Linked DNA regions of Macaca mulatta. The main gene of each other region encodes a partner of the protein of the gene in region 2 in a complex. Links are inferred from orthologs where the notes say so. Each region holds a gene or a part of one and is shown on either strand. Other genes may lie near its edges. The genes, in order: NUP37, SEH1L, WDR59 and MIOS.

What was found.
Region 1: SEH1L (region 2) and NUP37 share a complex: the UniProt entries of both Homo sapiens proteins name them as parts of the nup107-160 subcomplex of the nuclear pore complex. The link is inferred for Macaca mulatta from reciprocal best matches to the Homo sapiens genes SEH1L and NUP37.
Region 3: the proteins of SEH1L (region 2) and WDR59 are in contact, whole or in part, in a cryo-EM structure (PDB 7UHY), measured with the Homo sapiens proteins. The link is inferred for Macaca mulatta from reciprocal best matches to the Homo sapiens genes SEH1L and WDR59. Residues at the interface, in NP_112493.2 of Homo sapiens: Asn308, Tyr309, Met310, Asn312, Lys314; in NP_085058.3 of Homo sapiens: Pro713, Asp714, Glu716, Thr717, Pro718, Arg721, Arg837, Glu840, Gln843, His844, Asn847.
Region 4: the proteins of SEH1L (region 2) and MIOS are in contact, whole or in part, in a cryo-EM structure (PDB 7UHY), measured with the Homo sapiens proteins. The link is inferred for Macaca mulatta from reciprocal best matches to the Homo sapiens genes SEH1L and MIOS. Residues at the interface, in NP_112493.2 of Homo sapiens: Met1, Phe2, Val3, Ala4, Arg5, Ser6, Ile7, Ala9, His11, Lys12, Asp13, Leu14, Ile15, His16, Asp17, Val18, Phe20, Phe22, His23, Gly24, Arg25, Met27, Trp47, Ser173, Ser174, Ser175, Asn230, Leu231, Gly232, Arg233; in NP_001357005.1 of Homo sapiens: Arg279, Arg316, Ser317, Phe353, Glu354, Arg355, Ile356, Ser357, Leu358, Ala359, Trp360, Pro362, Leu366, Met367, Trp368, Ala369, Cys370, Gly371, Arg372, Leu374, Tyr375, Glu376, Cys377, Thr378, Glu379, Glu380, Glu387, Asp389, Ile390, Ala391.

The regions. Positions count from the first base shown.
Region 1 is NC_133416.1:109,432,150-109,436,497, reverse strand, and holds the start of NUP37 (nucleoporin Nup37), read left to right. Parts: upstream 1-1,504; 5' UTR 1,505-1,562; coding exon 1,563-1,718; intron 1,719-4,348. UniProt on the Homo sapiens protein: Component of the Nup107-160 subcomplex of the nuclear pore complex (NPC). The Nup107-160 subcomplex is required for the assembly of a functional NPC.
Region 2 is NC_133423.1:83,645,150-83,648,741, forward strand, and holds part of SEH1L (nucleoporin SEH1), read left to right. Parts: coding exon of another isoform or gene 1-16; intron 17-119; coding exon of another isoform or gene 120-196; exon of another isoform or gene 197-329; intron 330-1,096; coding exon 1,097-1,237; intron 1,238-2,373; coding exon 2,374-2,531; intron 2,532-3,592. Other genes in the region: succinate dehydrogenase cytochrome b560 subunit, mitochondrial-like, read right to left, coding at 1-16, 120-196. UniProt on the Homo sapiens protein: Component of the Nup107-160 subcomplex of the nuclear pore complex (NPC). The Nup107-160 subcomplex is required for the assembly of a functional NPC.
Region 3 is NC_133425.1:70,223,408-70,226,999, reverse strand, and holds part of WDR59 (GATOR2 complex protein WDR59), read left to right. Parts: intron 1-443; coding exon 444-608; intron 609-1,962; coding exon 1,963-2,058; intron 2,059-2,221; coding exon 2,222-2,378; intron 2,379-2,896; coding exon 2,897-2,966; intron 2,967-3,592. UniProt on the Homo sapiens protein: As a component of the GATOR2 complex, functions as an activator of the amino acid-sensing branch of the mTORC1 signaling pathway. The GATOR2 complex indirectly activates mTORC1 through the inhibition of the GATOR1 subcomplex.
Region 4 is NC_133408.1:120,948,032-120,952,206, forward strand, and holds the start of MIOS (GATOR2 complex protein MIOS), read right to left. Parts: upstream 2,823-4,175; 5' UTR 2,722-2,822; intron 1-2,721. UniProt on the Homo sapiens protein: As a component of the GATOR2 complex, functions as an activator of the amino acid-sensing branch of the mTORC1 signaling pathway. The GATOR2 complex indirectly activates mTORC1 through the inhibition of the GATOR1 subcomplex.

The DNA.
Region 1 (4,348 bases), on a different chromosome or scaffold from region 2:
TGGCGCTCTGCGGTGGGTATCGAGCGGGGAGCCCAAGAGGCCGTGATGCTTTTCTGCCGGCCGCCCAGCCCTGCCATTCTATCCCCAGGAGTTTTTCCTTCCCACCTCGGGCCCCGGGAGGTGGGAGCGGGGTCTTGAGGAACTCGCCTGGCCCGGGAGAGGTGTCGGGGCTCATTGCAGGGAGTTATCTTGTTCCCTCCCTTCTTCTCTGCCCTTCTAGTTTTACAGGGGCAAGTCCTGCCGAATGTGTATGGTGAGGCCCTGGGCACTGCTTTAATGAGCAGTAGGTGTGGGAACTGCACAATATCCTGACCTCGAATCTCTTGCACTTCCTATACCTCTCTGCCTCCATGTCCCTAACACTTGCTGGTCACCCTTAACAAGTTTTCAGTCCCGGATGTCCATTCCTAAGGTTACTAGTTTATAAGCGTCTCGAGGTGGGACTCATCTGATTTTCAGTAGATATTGTTAAAATGCTTGATATGTTTGTTACGGAGCCCGTCTGTTTTCAGGACAACGCTTGTGTCGAATTTTTTAAAAAAACCAAAAACTCTAAAACCCATAATTCTCCTGTGGGAATGCTACTTCCAGAGTGCACACTAGTCCCTGACGGTTAGTTAAAGTCTTGTGCCTAGTTTTAAGAATATTACTATTTTAAATTTTATTTTAAGTTCCGGGATACGTGTGCGGGACGTGTAGGTTTATTACAAAGGTAAACGTGTGCTATGGTGGTTTACTGCGCTTGTCAACCCATCACCTAAGTATTAAGCTCCACATGCATTAGCTATTTATCCTGATGCTCTCCCTTCCCCCAACCCCCCGAACATTATTTTTGTATCACAAATTTTGGCACTCCTTACAACAGATCCTGTATTTTGTATCTGTTTATATTGTAGCCCTTTTCACGTTGAGTCATAACTATCGCTAAATTGTGGTCTCCTTTAAGCCAGAAGGCTGTTTTTTTCTTCATTAGCACTGGTTCTCCACACACAATGAAGTCTTCCAAATCCTGGCCCTGCTTACAAGCTTGGCAAGTTAGTTAACCTACTGAAGCTACAGTTTCTCCATCTGCAAAATGGAGACCAGAGGTAGTACCTGCCTTTAGATTTGTACAGATACTAGATGTGGTCATGTCAGTGAAATCCTTAATGTGGCACCTGCAAATAGTGGTTCATAAAGGTTATTTTTATTAACATATTTGCTATTAAAATGATTCCATCTTCAGATGGAATACTTTTTGTTTTAGATAATCTAAACAGAACTTTATGGTGTTTTTGTCTGCTAGAATCACAGATACGGGAAAAAGCTGTAGAGCCAATGTGGAACCATTAATAACTAGATTTAATATTTTTCCTTCAGTTTCTGTCCCTTGATAAGGACTTTAAATGTTTCTTTTGAGCTTTCTGTCTCATTGTAACACCACAACCTTATTTTGATGCATTTGTTTAATGACTAACACTTCAACCATTCTAATTGTACCTGTGCTGTAATCCACAGTTTCGTGACCTTGTCCAGTAGAAGGCTATTTAATTTTCACAACTGCTTGAATTTTGACATACAAGATGAAGCAAGATGCCTCAAGAAATGCTGCCTACACTGTGGATTGTGAAGATTATGTGCATGTGGTAGAATTTAATCCCTTTGAGAATGGGGATTCAGGAAACCTAATTGCATATGGTGGCAATAATTATGTGGTCATTGGCACGTGTACGTTTCAGGTTAGTCTACAAAACTGCACCGAATGACAGTGAACATATTTCACTGATAAGAGAACTTACACAAACCAAATCTAAACTTTGAAAGTATATTGAGTTTGAATGTTAAAAAAAAAAAGATAACGCCCATAGAGAAAGATGTTCCCAGTTATATGTGCCTGAGATTTATGTAAACATTATATAGATAGTGAAAAAGAATAGTATGAGGCTTCTCTTTTGCTTCATGATCATTAATGGAATATTCTGATAACTGAAGGCTATGATTAACTGAACAATGGTATGTACAGGAAAAAAACAATATAAATGAGATCCAATTAATTACGGTTTTTCTACATCCTGCTTTGACATACGAAACCAGCTAATATTGAGAGCCTGGAAAATGATCTTCCAGGAGATTTTATAGCTTTTATAATATTCAGCTTTCCTATTAGTATGCTGTCATACTTTTTGTGCATCTGAAGTATGCAGAGTATGGAGTCTTATTAATTGAGGAGGCAGTTAAGCATCGCTATTAAGAGCGTGAATTCTAGAACTAGAATGCCTACATGTTTACTCCTGCTTTACTTACTTCTTACTAGCTATGAGACCTTGAATAAGATATTTAGCCTCTCCTGTAAAAAAGAGGAAAACTGCTCAAATTTTAGTATGTGTAAACTTCCGAGAGGGCATCTGACAACACTGTGATCCATATATATGTTTTAGTTGTCATTGATATGGGCAATGGTAATACTCTCAGATTTAATCACCAAAGTAACATTGCTTTGTGGTGAACATACACCATGTTTTCGCAGAGGAAAACTAGTTTTACATGTAAGAGAGACTTTGAACAACAAAGGTTCAAGCGTCAGGACTATCTGGCTAATCTTTTGTCTGTCAGAATATTATTATTTTTATTATTATTATTATTTTTGAGACAGAGTCTTGCTTGGTCGCCCAGGCTGGAGTGCACTGGTGTGACCTTGGCTCACTACAGCCTTCATCTCCTGGGTTCAATTGATTCTCCTGCCTCAGCCTCCTGAGTAGTTGGGATTACAGGCATGCGCCACCACCCCCAGCTAATTTTTGTATTTTTAGTAGGGGGTTTCATGATGTTGGCCAGACTGGTCTCGAACTCCAGACCTCATGTCATCTGCCCACCTTGGCCTCCCAAAGTGCTGGGATTACAGGTGTGAGCCACCCTTCCTGGCCTATCAGAATATTATTAATAGAACTGTATTTCTCAAATTATAATTAATACGGTAATTTGGAAGTGTCCAATTTTCTAAGGTTTAAAATAACTATCACTAAAGTGATATTATATCATTATAAATGTTATTTCCTCCTTTACTGAAAAGGCAATTCTGTATCTTTTTTTTTTTTTTTTTGATATGGAGTCTTGCTGTGTCACCCAGGTTGGAGTGCAGTGGTGCGATCTCTGCTCACTGCAACCTCTGCCTCCTGACTTCAAGCGATTATCCTGCCTCAGCCTCCTGAGTAGCTGGGATTACCGGTGCGTGCCATCATGCCCAGCTAACTTTTTTGTATTTTTAGTAGAGACAGGGTTTCACCATGTTGGTCAGGCTGGTCTTGAACTCCTGACCTCGTGATCCGCCTGCCTCAGCTTCCCAAAGTGCTGGGATTGCAGGCGTGAGCCATCATGCCCAGCGGCAATTCTGAATCTTACAGTATTGTGACATCAGAAATGCAATTTGGCATTTTATAGCACAATAAATATATAAAGCTTTACAAATTGGAATATAGTCATATTTAAGAGGAAGTATGAATTAAAAGTTTCAGTTTGTTGCTGTCTGAGTAGAATATGACAGCTCCTAGGCTATTTCATACTGTCTCTTTGGGTGGGGGGGTAGAAATTACTACCTTTTAGACTAAATATGACCCTCAGCCTCACTTACATGGACATGGTTTAGGATCATAAAAAGTTATATGATTAAAACAATGTTACATACTTGAAAAAGACTGAGGAAAAACCATTTCTCTAATGCAGGCCACCAATGCACAAAAGAGTAAAGCAGCCTCCTACAGGTAAAACTAATTTTTACTTCATTACTTCTAAAATTAATAACTGAACATAAAATTGTATTCAAAAACACTGAAAAATGTTTATCTCTCATTTATGATTAAGAAATGTTGAGAGAGAAAGTCAATGGAGAACAAATTAGGAAAAGAGAAAGGCAAAGATGAGAGAGGGAGAAGATGGGAGAAAGAAGGAAAATGACAACGTGAGAAAAAAGAACTAGTATAAACATTTGTGTTCTGTTATGTTTTATGGTCACATGTATTGTCTCAGTTGACCCTCATACCTGTGAGATTAGCAATGTAGGTCTCATGCCCAAATTACTAAGGAAAAAATTAGATTTTTATTAATTTGGACAATAGTAAACACAAATTATATTCTGCACCAGACATTGGAAATACAATTAAGTAAGTCCATTTCAAAATAAATTATTGCTTTTCTTTGAAGTTATTTTTTATCTAGCTAAACACTGTTAAACATTATTACTATTCTGTTATCCTAGAACCTTCAAGTTCCATTGCACCCAGTTTCATACCTCTTGTCTTGAGAGAAAACTAAGTAAAGGTAAATTAAGTGGAAAGATTTCCACATTCCTGTCAGAAAGATAATCCTTATTTTA
Region 2 (3,592 bases):
CACGGGAAGAGACCAGCTGTAGATAGTGATGTGGGGAGACACAGGACGGTGTGAACCTATATTATTATTCCAGAACCGCTCTTATCTCTTCTTTTGCCGTGGTTCCCACGGGAACAGCATTTCTGATACAGAGCTGAGGGCCAAAGTGGGCTTGGAGGTAATGACAACCAACACGTCTCAGCAAGAGTGCAGCCATCTCGGGTTTCTTTTTTTTTTTTTTGCAACAGAGCCTCACTCTGTTGCCCAGGCTGGAGTGCAGTGGTGTAATCTCAGCTCACTGCAATCTCTGCCTCCTGGGCTCAAGCCATCCTCCCACCTCAGCCTCCTAAGCAGCTGGGACTACGGGTGTGCACCACCACGCCCAGCTATTTTTGTGTTTTGTGTAGAGGTGGGGTCTTGCTGTGTTGCCCAGGCTGGTCTTGAACTACTGGGTTGAAGCATTTCTTCCACTTCAGCCTCCCAAAATGCTGGGATTACAGGTGTGAGCCACTGTGGCCAGCCAAGACCTTATTCTAGTTAAATTTTTATTAAACCATTTCAAGCTCAGTGTACATTATCAGAGGAGGAAACATGGGAGGTTGTATTAATTTCCTAGGGCTACCATAACAAATTACCACAAATCAGGTGTCTTAACACAGAATGTATTCCCTCAGTTCTGGAGGCCGGAAGTCTGAAATCGAGGTGTCGGCGGGGCTGTGCTTCCTCTGGAATCCTTCCTGGTCTAGTCCAGCTCCTGCTGGCTCCAGTTCTTTGCCTTGTGGCAGCAAGACTCCAATCTCTGCCTCTGTGTTCACATGGCCGCCTCCTCTGTGTCTCTACGTCTCTCCTCTTCTTTTTTAAGGATACTTACTGCACATTGGATTTAGGACCCACCCTAAATCTAGGATGTCATTCTGAGGTCCTTAATTACGTTTTCAAAGACCTTTTTTGAATAAGGTTACGTTCACAGGTTCTGGGGGTCAGGACCACTGTTGAGCCCACTACAGAGGTGAGCGCTACATGACTGTGAGCAGTATGAAAAAGGTGCGATGCAGTGATGTGTGCATCTTTGTACATTTTATTTCTAAAATGTTTAAATTGTTTGTTTTTCCATTAGGAAATATGCAAAAGCTGAAACTCTTATGACAGTCACTGATCCCGTTCATGATATTGCATTCGCTCCAAACTTGGGAAGATCTTTCCATATTCTAGCAATAGCAACCAAAGATGTGAGAATTTTTACATTAAAACCTGTGAGGTGAGTTTTCGAAGCATTTATGAATTTGAAAATACTCTTGCCTCCTGATTACCTTTGTTTGTGGAGGAGAGAGTAGAGGTAACTATGATTTGGTTTATATTTCTGCTCTGGAAGTTTTACTTAAAAATGTAAACTCTGAAATATTTTTAAAAAATGGTCTTTTACAATTACTTTTAAATTAATGTCATTTTTGAAGAATGGATTATTGAATGAACATTTTATATATAAATATATGTCTTTTTGGAAAGAGGAATTGAGTAAAGAGTAGATTTATATTCTCTTAATTGTGCTTTATTTAGGCTAATACTAACAATTCTCCCAATATAACTGATATTCTATAAATATTTAATGACAAGTGGCAGTCTATTTAGGGAAAACTAAATTAGTATTGATACAGTCTTGTGAATAACATATTTAACTTTAATTTTGAATTGTGAATTCCAGTTCTTTTCTTTCTGTTCTTTCATTCTTTCCTACTTGCTGCCCTGCCCTTTTTTTTTTTTTTTTTTTTTTTTGAGGCAAGATCTCGCTTCATTGCCCAGGCTGGAGGGCAGTGACATGATCTTGGCTCAGTGCAACCTCTACCTGCCAGGTTCAAGCAATTCTTATGCCTCAGCCTCCTGAGTAGCTGGGACTACAGGTGCCCGCCACCACGCCTGGCTAATTTTTTATTTTGTATTTTTAGTAGGGACGGGGTTTCGCCATGTTGGCCAGGCTGATCTTGAACTCCTGTCCTCAAGTGATCTGTCCATCTTGGCCTCCCAAAGTGCTGGGATTACAGGTGTGAGCCACTGCACTTGGCCTTGCCCTGCCTTTTAAAATTAATTATTGTCATCTGTTTTATTCCTCGGCCTTGTGTGGGAGAATAAAATCATCCTGTTTTGTTGTTTCTTTCTTCCATGAAACAGTCACTGAATATCGTTTATGTGCTGGGATCACTCCAGGCCTTGGCGAGTTAAATGGAAATGACATTGGCCCAGCTCAAGGGCCAAGGGTGGGGTTTATGCAGATGAGTACATTATTATAAAGTGATGTGGTGGTGAGACCACTTGTACTAATTTAGAATTTTATATGTGTGTGTGTGTGTATTTTAAAACTTTGCTTAGAATGCCTCAGAAAATGTTTTTTATTAACAGGAAAGAACTGACTTCCTCTGGTGGGCCAACAAAGTTTGAAATCCATATAGTGGCTCAGTTTGATAATCATAATTCTCAGGTCTGGCGAGTGAGTTGGAATATAACAGGAACAGTGCTAGCATCTTCAGGAGATGATGGCTGTGTAAGATTGTGGAAAGGTAAGATTTCAGTGGAGGGGTAATTGTTGGTTTATATTTCTGCTCTGGAGTTTTTACTTAAAAATGTAAACTCTGAAATATTTTTTAAAAATGGTCTTTTACGGTTACTTTTAATGTCATATTAATTTATGTTATTTCGAACATCAGTTTACCTAGTTCATAGCAGTTAATCACTGAATTGTTTTTCAAGTTATATGGAACAGAGCAACTTTTAAAACTAAAGTAATTACTACAGAATATGCAGTATCTCCAGTAAAAAGATACCAGTTGTCATATATGTACCTTACTTGACTGCTCTACAGACTCAGGCTAGGACTATAGTCGCTCTTATTTTATCAAATAGATTACTTTAGACAATCAGTCCTTAATAGGAGAAAATCCAGTATCTTCCCTGCTTTGTGCAAACGTTAAGAGCCTTGGGGCCCTGATTGTAAGCTTTTTATAAGTGCCAGGCTGAGTGAGAAGGTCTGGACAGTTGACACTGACTGTGGTCTCTGTAGCGTGGTTCTGCACTGCTTTTTGGATGATTATCTGTTGGGCAGAGATTTCTGTGATTTGTGCACCACCATAATGAATGGTGTCCCATACTTAGCATTCAAAATTATAGCTGTCTTAGTTTATTTACTCTTTAGCAGTTACTGTTTCCCAAAGTGCAGTTTGGGTAAGCTTGAGGGCCTCCCATGTTCGATTTTGGGCTTTGGCAAAACCAGCTCAGACCTTCCTTTCTTCAGTGTAATTTGATTTCAAGGGCTTTGTTGTCCTTTTCTGCCTCTGGGCTTTAGTCTGGACCACCTTGCCATGCTCCCCAGCAGGCTGCCTAACTTGATTTTCTTGGGCTCATTGTCTTCAGAGACCAATTTTGCATTCAAACTAATAAGGCCATTTTGGATAAGCCACTCAATCTCCATCCATTTCAGAAGACATTAGGTACCCATACAACTTATACTTGCATAATTAAGAAGACAATTTCATTACCTTACATATGTAAGTGAAATTCATTATAATGAAGACTTTAATATTATAATGGAGATTTTAATATTAATTTCATAATGTGATAATAC
Region 3 (3,592 bases), on a different chromosome or scaffold from region 2:
TCCAACATGGCGAAACTCCATCTCTACCAAAACAAAATAAAAAAACCAAAAAAACAAAAAGATTCCCTGGGCATGGTGGCGCCTGCCTGTATTCCCAGTATTTGGGAGGTAGGAGGTGGGAGAATCACTTGAACCCAGAAGGTGGAGGTTGCAGTGAGCTGAGATTGTGCCACACTGCACTCCAGCCTGGGCGACAGAGTGAGACCCTGTGTCAAAGAAAAAAAAAAACTTTCAGCTTATTCCATTGGTATGAAAATTTAATAATCTGATATGAAAATTTAAGAATCTTTTTGAAAATGAATTGTCTTCCACACAAATTTGTCTTTGTAGAGTCTTTTCCTTCACCCAATTACTAGGAACATGGAGCGTTCAGTTAAATGCACGTGCATCGAAAGACGCTTTGTGGTTTGTTTGCAAAGCCATTGTGGATTTGTCTCTTGCAGATGGATGCGGCAGACAGGAGCTGCACAGTGTCCGTGCACTGCAGCAACCATCGCGTCAAGATGCTGGTGAAGTTCCCTGCTCAGTATCCAAACAACGCCGCCCCTTCCTTCCAGTTTATTAACCCCACAACCATCACGTCCACCATGAAAGCTAAGCTGCTAAAGGTAGGGGTCTGGGTTCCCAAATTCTCCTGCTGTTCTGCATCATTGTCTAGACTGAGTAGGAAAGAAGACTGAAAACTCTAGTAGATGAGATTCAGAAGTCATCTGTTTCATACACACACTAGTGTTAGCAACGTAACCTCTGCACTTGCCATTTAGTTTGTGTAGAAAACATAAGAGCGGTGGTTCTTAACCTTTTTTGGGTCATGGCCTTCCTCAGAAAAATCTACACAATGATTGCATATGGTTTGAGAAATACTGCCTATAAATATGTGAATTGCATATAATCTGTCCACAGATCTCATTAACGTTATGCATTCATCTCAGGTTATGAGATTTGCAATCTAATTTCATTTAGGAGTCCAGGTTAGGAGCACTGCAGTCCAATTTCGTTTATGTGGAAACAACAAGCAAGATGTATTCTGAAGCTAAAAGATATTTTACAATTAGAAAAAAACATGTGTAAGGTCATAAAAAAAATTTTATCCCATAGAAGGAGCTGGTGTTATCCTAGAGGTAGGCTGGCTAGCTGCACAGTGGGTGTCCAGATGGAGGTGCCACAGCCTGACATCAGTGTTTAATTCTGCAGATTCAGAGACTTGATGTGTCAGTTCATCCAGAGCAAATCAGGTGGAATCTCCATGACAAAGCCCCATGAGCCTCTTCATACCCCTTGTTCAGTTTGAGCAGTGTCACAAGTAAAGGGACTGGAGTTTTTTTGGCAAACTCAGGCCAACCTGAATGTTGCTCATTTTTTGCCCGGTTTGGGTCGTGGACACTTGATTGTTACGCTTTGTTGGGGTATCACATGGAACTAGGACGTTTTCAAGTGGCTTAAGGATCTCTGAAATGCCAGTAACTCAGATCTTGTGGTATTTGACATGTTAAACTTGGAATCTGAATATGTCGTTGCCTAGTTTGGACATACAAAAAAGATAGATTTTTCTATTAGTATAAAATGATACGATTAGATTGCAAATTTTTTTTGTGAAAAATCAGACCTTTTCCCAGTGCAGTGGCTCACTCCTGTAATCTCAGCACTTTGGGTGGCCGAGGCGCATGGATCACCTGAGGTCAGGAGTTCAAGACCAGCCTGGGCAACATGGTGAAACCCCATCTCTACTAAAAATACAAAAAGTAGCCAGGCGTGGTGGCGCATGCCTGTATTCCCAGCTACTCGGTAGGCGAATCACTTGAACACAGGAGGCAGAGGTTGCAATGAACCGAGATCGCACCACTGCACTCCAGCCTGGGCAACAAAGACAGACTCTATCTCAAAAAAAAAAAAAAAAAAAAACAGAATAGCCTGTCAGAGAAATGTGTTCCTCTTCTTGACTGTGTTTTGGGCCTTTTCTAGATCCTGAAGGACACGGCCCTGCAGAAAGTGAAGCGTGGCCAGAGCTGCCTGGAGCCCTGCCTGCGCCAGCTCGTCTCCTGCCTCGAGTCCTTTGTGGTGGGAAGCATGAAACTGTTGTACCAACTTATGCTTTGGGGTTTTGTTTCATTTCTTTCTCCCTAAAATCATGGGCTTTTTTTTTTTTTCCTGCTGGGTGCTTATTTTGTAATTCAACTTCAAGACAGGTTGTGGTTTTAGCTTATGGAATTTTAAATTTCAGAACCAGGAAGACAGCGCTTCCAGCAATCCGTTTGCACTCCCCAACTCCGTCACACCCCCGTTACCGACTTTTGCTCGTGTGACCACAGCCTACGGGTCGTACCAGGATGCCAACATTCCGTTTCCTAGGACTTCTGGGGCCAGGTTCTGTGGAGCAGGTGGGTCTCTTTGGTTCTCTGATTCTAGATTTTGAGAGGGAGCAGCTAAGAATGCCATAGATTCTGTATAAACATCTTGAGCAACAAATGTTTGCTTTTACTCCCAGAGAACTCCAACGAGACTTTCATAGTAGCGTGGCAGGGTGTGAGGTCCAGTCGGGGTCTCTGGACTTATCCTAAGAGTGTGCACCATTCTGGTGGTCTTAACTTTCTTCATTCTGATGAGCTTGGGTTTGAGTCTTTACTCAGAGCCCTGAGTCTTAGCAGGGGACAGTCCCCTGGTAGGGAGCCTTAGAGTCCCGCTGATGACTCTGCCCCGTCCACCTACATCCTCTTTCCTGGACTCGAGTGCTGACCTTTGTTCTTGGTAAGGGTCACCGCAGTCGTGAGTCTTGCAGCTTATGAAAATGTGTCTTACCCTCAGGTATACAGAGATAGAAGACTGGCCAGTCCTGCCTCAGGATTTCCCACGTCCAGCTTGTTGACGCTGACGGCTCATGTGATGTCTTCTTCTTTAGGTTACCTGGTGTATTTCACAAGGCCCATGACGATGCATCGGGCGGTGTCTCCCACAGAGCCTACTCCGAGGTGAGTGCGGGAGATGCAGAAGCCACTCTACGTTCCCGTGGCCAGAGACCTGGGAAGGACCATGGAGTTTGTCTTTGGACAATGCGTTTTAGTTCTTCAGTAAACTCCTATTACAAGATTTATTTGAGAAAGATTGAAGTCAATTAAGTTGCAAGAAAGCTGAGATTTCTGCTGTACAGTTATTAGCAAACCATTAGAAGAAGTAGATTGATAAAAGCTCTTGTCAAAACAAGGCAAATTGTTTTTAAATATGCCTTTCCCCTATTGCTAGCATATTATTTATTATTTGTTTTTGATTATTTTATTATTCAATTTAACATTAAATAAAACTGGAAAAATAACAAAAAAACCATCTGTAGTTTCACAACATTAATATGCCACTTCTGATATTACCAAACAATGTGTAATTTTATAACATTATGTAAGTAGTGCACTGGGAAAACAGAAACGAAATTTTTTTTTTTTTTTTAAGATAGGATCTGGCTCTGTCACCCAGGCTGGAGTGCAGTGGCATGATCATAGCTCACTGCAGCCCTTACCTCCTGGCTCAAGTGATCCTCCTGCCTCTGCCTCCCAAGTAGCTGGGACTACAGGCGTGCACCACCATGCCCAGCTAATTTTTGTAT
Region 4 (4,175 bases), on a different chromosome or scaffold from region 2:
GCAGGAGGTGAGCAGCAGGCAAGGGAGCAAAGCTTCATCTGTTACTTAGAGCCACTCATCTCACACACTGCCGCCTGAGCTCCACCTCCTGTCAGATCAATAGCAGTATCAGTTTCTCACAGCAGTGCAAACCCTACTGTGAACTGCACATGACAGGGATCTAGGTTGTGCATTCCTTGTGAGAATCTAATGTCTGATGATCTGTCACTGTCTCCTATCACACCCATATGGGACCATCTAGTTGCAGGAAAACAAGCTCAGGGCTCCCACTGATTCTACATTATGGTGAGTTGTATAATTATTTCATTATATAGTGCAATGTAAATAAAGTGCACAATAAATGTAATGCGCTTGAATCATCCTGAAACCACCCCATCCCTCGTCTGTGAGAAAACTGTCTTCCATGAAACCGGTCCCTGGTGCCAAAAAGGTTGGGGACTGCTGATTAAGGAATTCTTATACTGATTTTATTTCCTTCTTTAGCATTTCTCAAGCCCAAGATCAATCATTTCAATTATATTCTTACTAGCACCCTCAATGTCTTCATTTACTTGTCACTTTGGGTTTGCCGTTTGCCAGTCATTTACCCAATTATTTATCATCTTGTCTCCTCATTCAGGCTTCCAAGTGCTACCACACTGAGGATAGTCTCAAGCCTCTGAAAACTGATTTCAGTAAATTAAGGTATACAACATATCTGGTGTGCGGTGCTGGCAGTTTTTCTTTTATTCATCTTTCCCCTGGGCCCTTCGGAAATATTGCTTTATAGAATATCAGAGTAAAAATCTTTCTACAACACAACTTTGACCAGGCTATCCTTCCTTGCTTAAAACCCTCTAATGGTCTCCAGCTGCTCTTATTATAGCATTCCAAATCTTCAACCTAACCTACAAAACCCTAAATGCTTTTGGTCTCTGCCTACTGCATCGGCCTTGTGGCACAACATTCTTGCTGTCCTTTTACACTGTCCTTTTCAATTCCTAGAGTATACCCTCCTCCCCCATCACCATACCTTTGCAAATGATGTTTCCTCTGGTTAAAGCATAGTTCTCTGCCTTCTGGGTCAAGTTAATACCTGCTCAACCTTGACATCAACCACCCTCCATCCCCTCCCTAGTCGAGGTCAGGTTACTCAGACATACACTGTCATTAAACAGTATTCTTTCCCTTTAATCATCCATTTCTGTCTCTTCTACTGGATTATACACTCCATGAGAGCAGGTGAAGTATTTTTTTGTGTTCCACTGTACCTCTAGTCCCCAGTACAGTGCTAGACACTCAGTAGGAAGTTTAATAAACATTTGTTAAATAAATGCATGTGTTGAATGATCCCTCTGACACTTCTCACAACTGGTATCTCCAAGTTTTACCTATTTCCTCATGCTTCCACTTCTACCCTTCATAGGAGAGGCTGGCTCCAGCCAATATTTAAGTGTCTGCTATCATACTTCATTTATTCTGTAAGATTGGGCACCTTCTATGTTCTAGGCGCTGTCATAAAGCTGGGAACACAGCAGCAAACATGAGCAGATGAAGTCTCTGGTCTAAAAAAAAACCTGCACTATAGTGATAAAATTAAGCCCAACCTTAAAGAGGTTAAAAAATTTAAGAATGAGGAGGAAAAGGGGCACCTCATGTGATAGGCAGCAGCTATGACAGCAAAGAAAAGGAACAGATACTGCCAAGTAAGGTTTCACACTCATACCACCACAAAGGAAACCTCTTAATTGACATCATGAGATCTGCCCCATTTTCCCATCTCATTGAAAAATCAATGTTTAAATAAACACACTCTTCAGGCCTTCATTCCACAACCCTACTCTTTATACCAATGGTCTATGGTAAGCAATTTTGATGCCACATAGAAAAATCCATCTTACAAAACACAAAATACGAGTTGTAGCGTAAATTTTAGAACTTTGATTCACATGACTCTCAACGGAGAATATCAGCATTTCTTCCATTGTCATGCACCTAAAATATTTATACTGCCATCCACTAAATCTGATGACAGTAATTCATACAGAATCAAAACTTGAGAGAAAAAGACTAATTCTTCTCACTTTACGTAACAGTAAAGTGAAGACCAGATGTTTGGGTGCTTGTCCAGGGTCTCTCAACTTCCATCCTAGATTACTGCAAAGAGAAAGGATCAGCTACACAATACGCAAGGCGTGGTGCAAAATAAAAATGCAGGGCCCCTTATTTAAAAAGTCAAGACAGTGATAGCAGACTAGCCATTAAAATAAGTGCTAGCCATTATAAATGCTGGACTATGCGCTACTGCACAGGTTGCACATTATAAGAGTAACCCTGTATAGAGAGGTGCATCTATGTCCACCCTTTTAAGAAGTGTACTTTTTTCACCATCTAATACACAGGATAAACAGTTCCTTGATCATGAACATACATCACCAAGAATCTGGTGTAAAGAAAACAATATAGAGTCAGAAATCCTACAGCCACTCCCCAGTTCAAATCCTAACAAATCTTGTAATACTCCAAAACCATAAACCGAGATAAAATCTATCCCATTTCCATCTCACAAAGTTGTGACATCAACTGAAATGAACTCTTCACATCACATAGATGTTAGTATCACTACCATTCCCGTAATCAGCCCTGAAAGTTAATGTTTTTTCCAAATGTTGGAGACATTAAAAAATTAGGTGCAGAAGGGGTGCGGTTTGCAATAAGTATAGCTTGTATTTATATCCTCACCTTTCAAGTTTAACAAGTCTCACTTCCCATCAGTGACTTATCAGCAAAGGAAAGCCATGCTCATTCTGTGTTTATTCATCAGAATATCTGTAACAGCACTGTCCAAAAGAAATACAGTGTGAGCCATATGATTTAAAAATTTCCAGTAGTCACATCTAAAAAGTAAAAATAGGTGGAATTAAATTTAAAAACATATTTTATTTAACCAACATATCAACGGCATTATCCTTTCAATATGTAATCAATGCAAAAATTATTAGTGAGGATTTTGACATTTTTTCTGGCACCAACTCTGGGAAATCCGATGTGTATTTTACACTTACAGCACATCTCAATACCATGTGGCTACTGGACAGTGAAGTCCAACACATTACAATACTACTAAGTGTACAAAGTATCCAATCACATGCTTTTTGATGCTGTCTTTTACTTTTCTTACCATGGCAAATTACGAGAGCGGTTTCAAGAAATTTCCACCATCAGCATCTTCCAGGAGATGCACTGCACATACCCAAATTTCCCTTAAAATATACAAAAGGCCTGCAAAAGCAGTCATTTGCTAACCAATTCAGCAAAGTCCACATGTGTGAGGTTTCATTCATCCTCTTAAGGAATTTTCACTACTCGTATGTGAAGAGAACAGAGCTCACCGGGAGATAGGCCGTTTAAGAAGTACAGTATTTAAGAGGGTACAATGGCAACAGGGCACGTTGCTATTCCAGGTAAAGCAGGAGTCTGAATCCGACTCTCCCGCTTCAAGCACCTGGCTGAGCCTCCCGGGAAAGGCGGGGACGCCGCTCCCCACAAGCCTGCCGCGGTGAAGGCTGTAGCGTGGCCTCTGCGCCCCGAGGAGGTCCCCGCAGGTCCCGCGGCCGCCCGCAGCCCCCGGTGGCTCCCGCGGAGGCCCGACCGGCTGGCCGCCCGGCGCGATTACCCCACAGCGCGGAACGCGCTCCCCGCCCAGACGCCCGAGCCTTTCAACTAGGCTATCTCGGGCCCCTAGCTGCGGCCGCTGCGCTCCCGAGACCCGAGACGCGGGCCGGGTCGAACTCACTGACCTGAGGTGGCAGCGCGGCCGCCGCACAGCCGCTTCCGGCCGGGACACCGCCCCTCCTGCCGCAGGCGCCCGGACGCGGGCAAGATGGCGGCCGCGGCGGCGCGGCCCGTGACCTGGACCACTGGGCTGGGGCCCACGACCCTACCACCACGCCTCGGGGACGCGCAGCCGCGCCTTGGAAGGGGAGTTTCCCGCCGCGAGTCCCGCCCTCCCCCGCCCGGTAGGCGCCTCGGGGCGGGGTCACTGGCCGGGAGGCCCCGCCTTCCGCCCGAAAGCGCCTGTGCACCCCGCTGGCCCCGCCCGTGGGTCCACAGGCCGGATCCCCGGGTTCCTAGGCTGGGACTGCTTCTCAGAACCACTCTGCCGTTTTCAAGCAGGGTCGCACACTCTAGCTCAC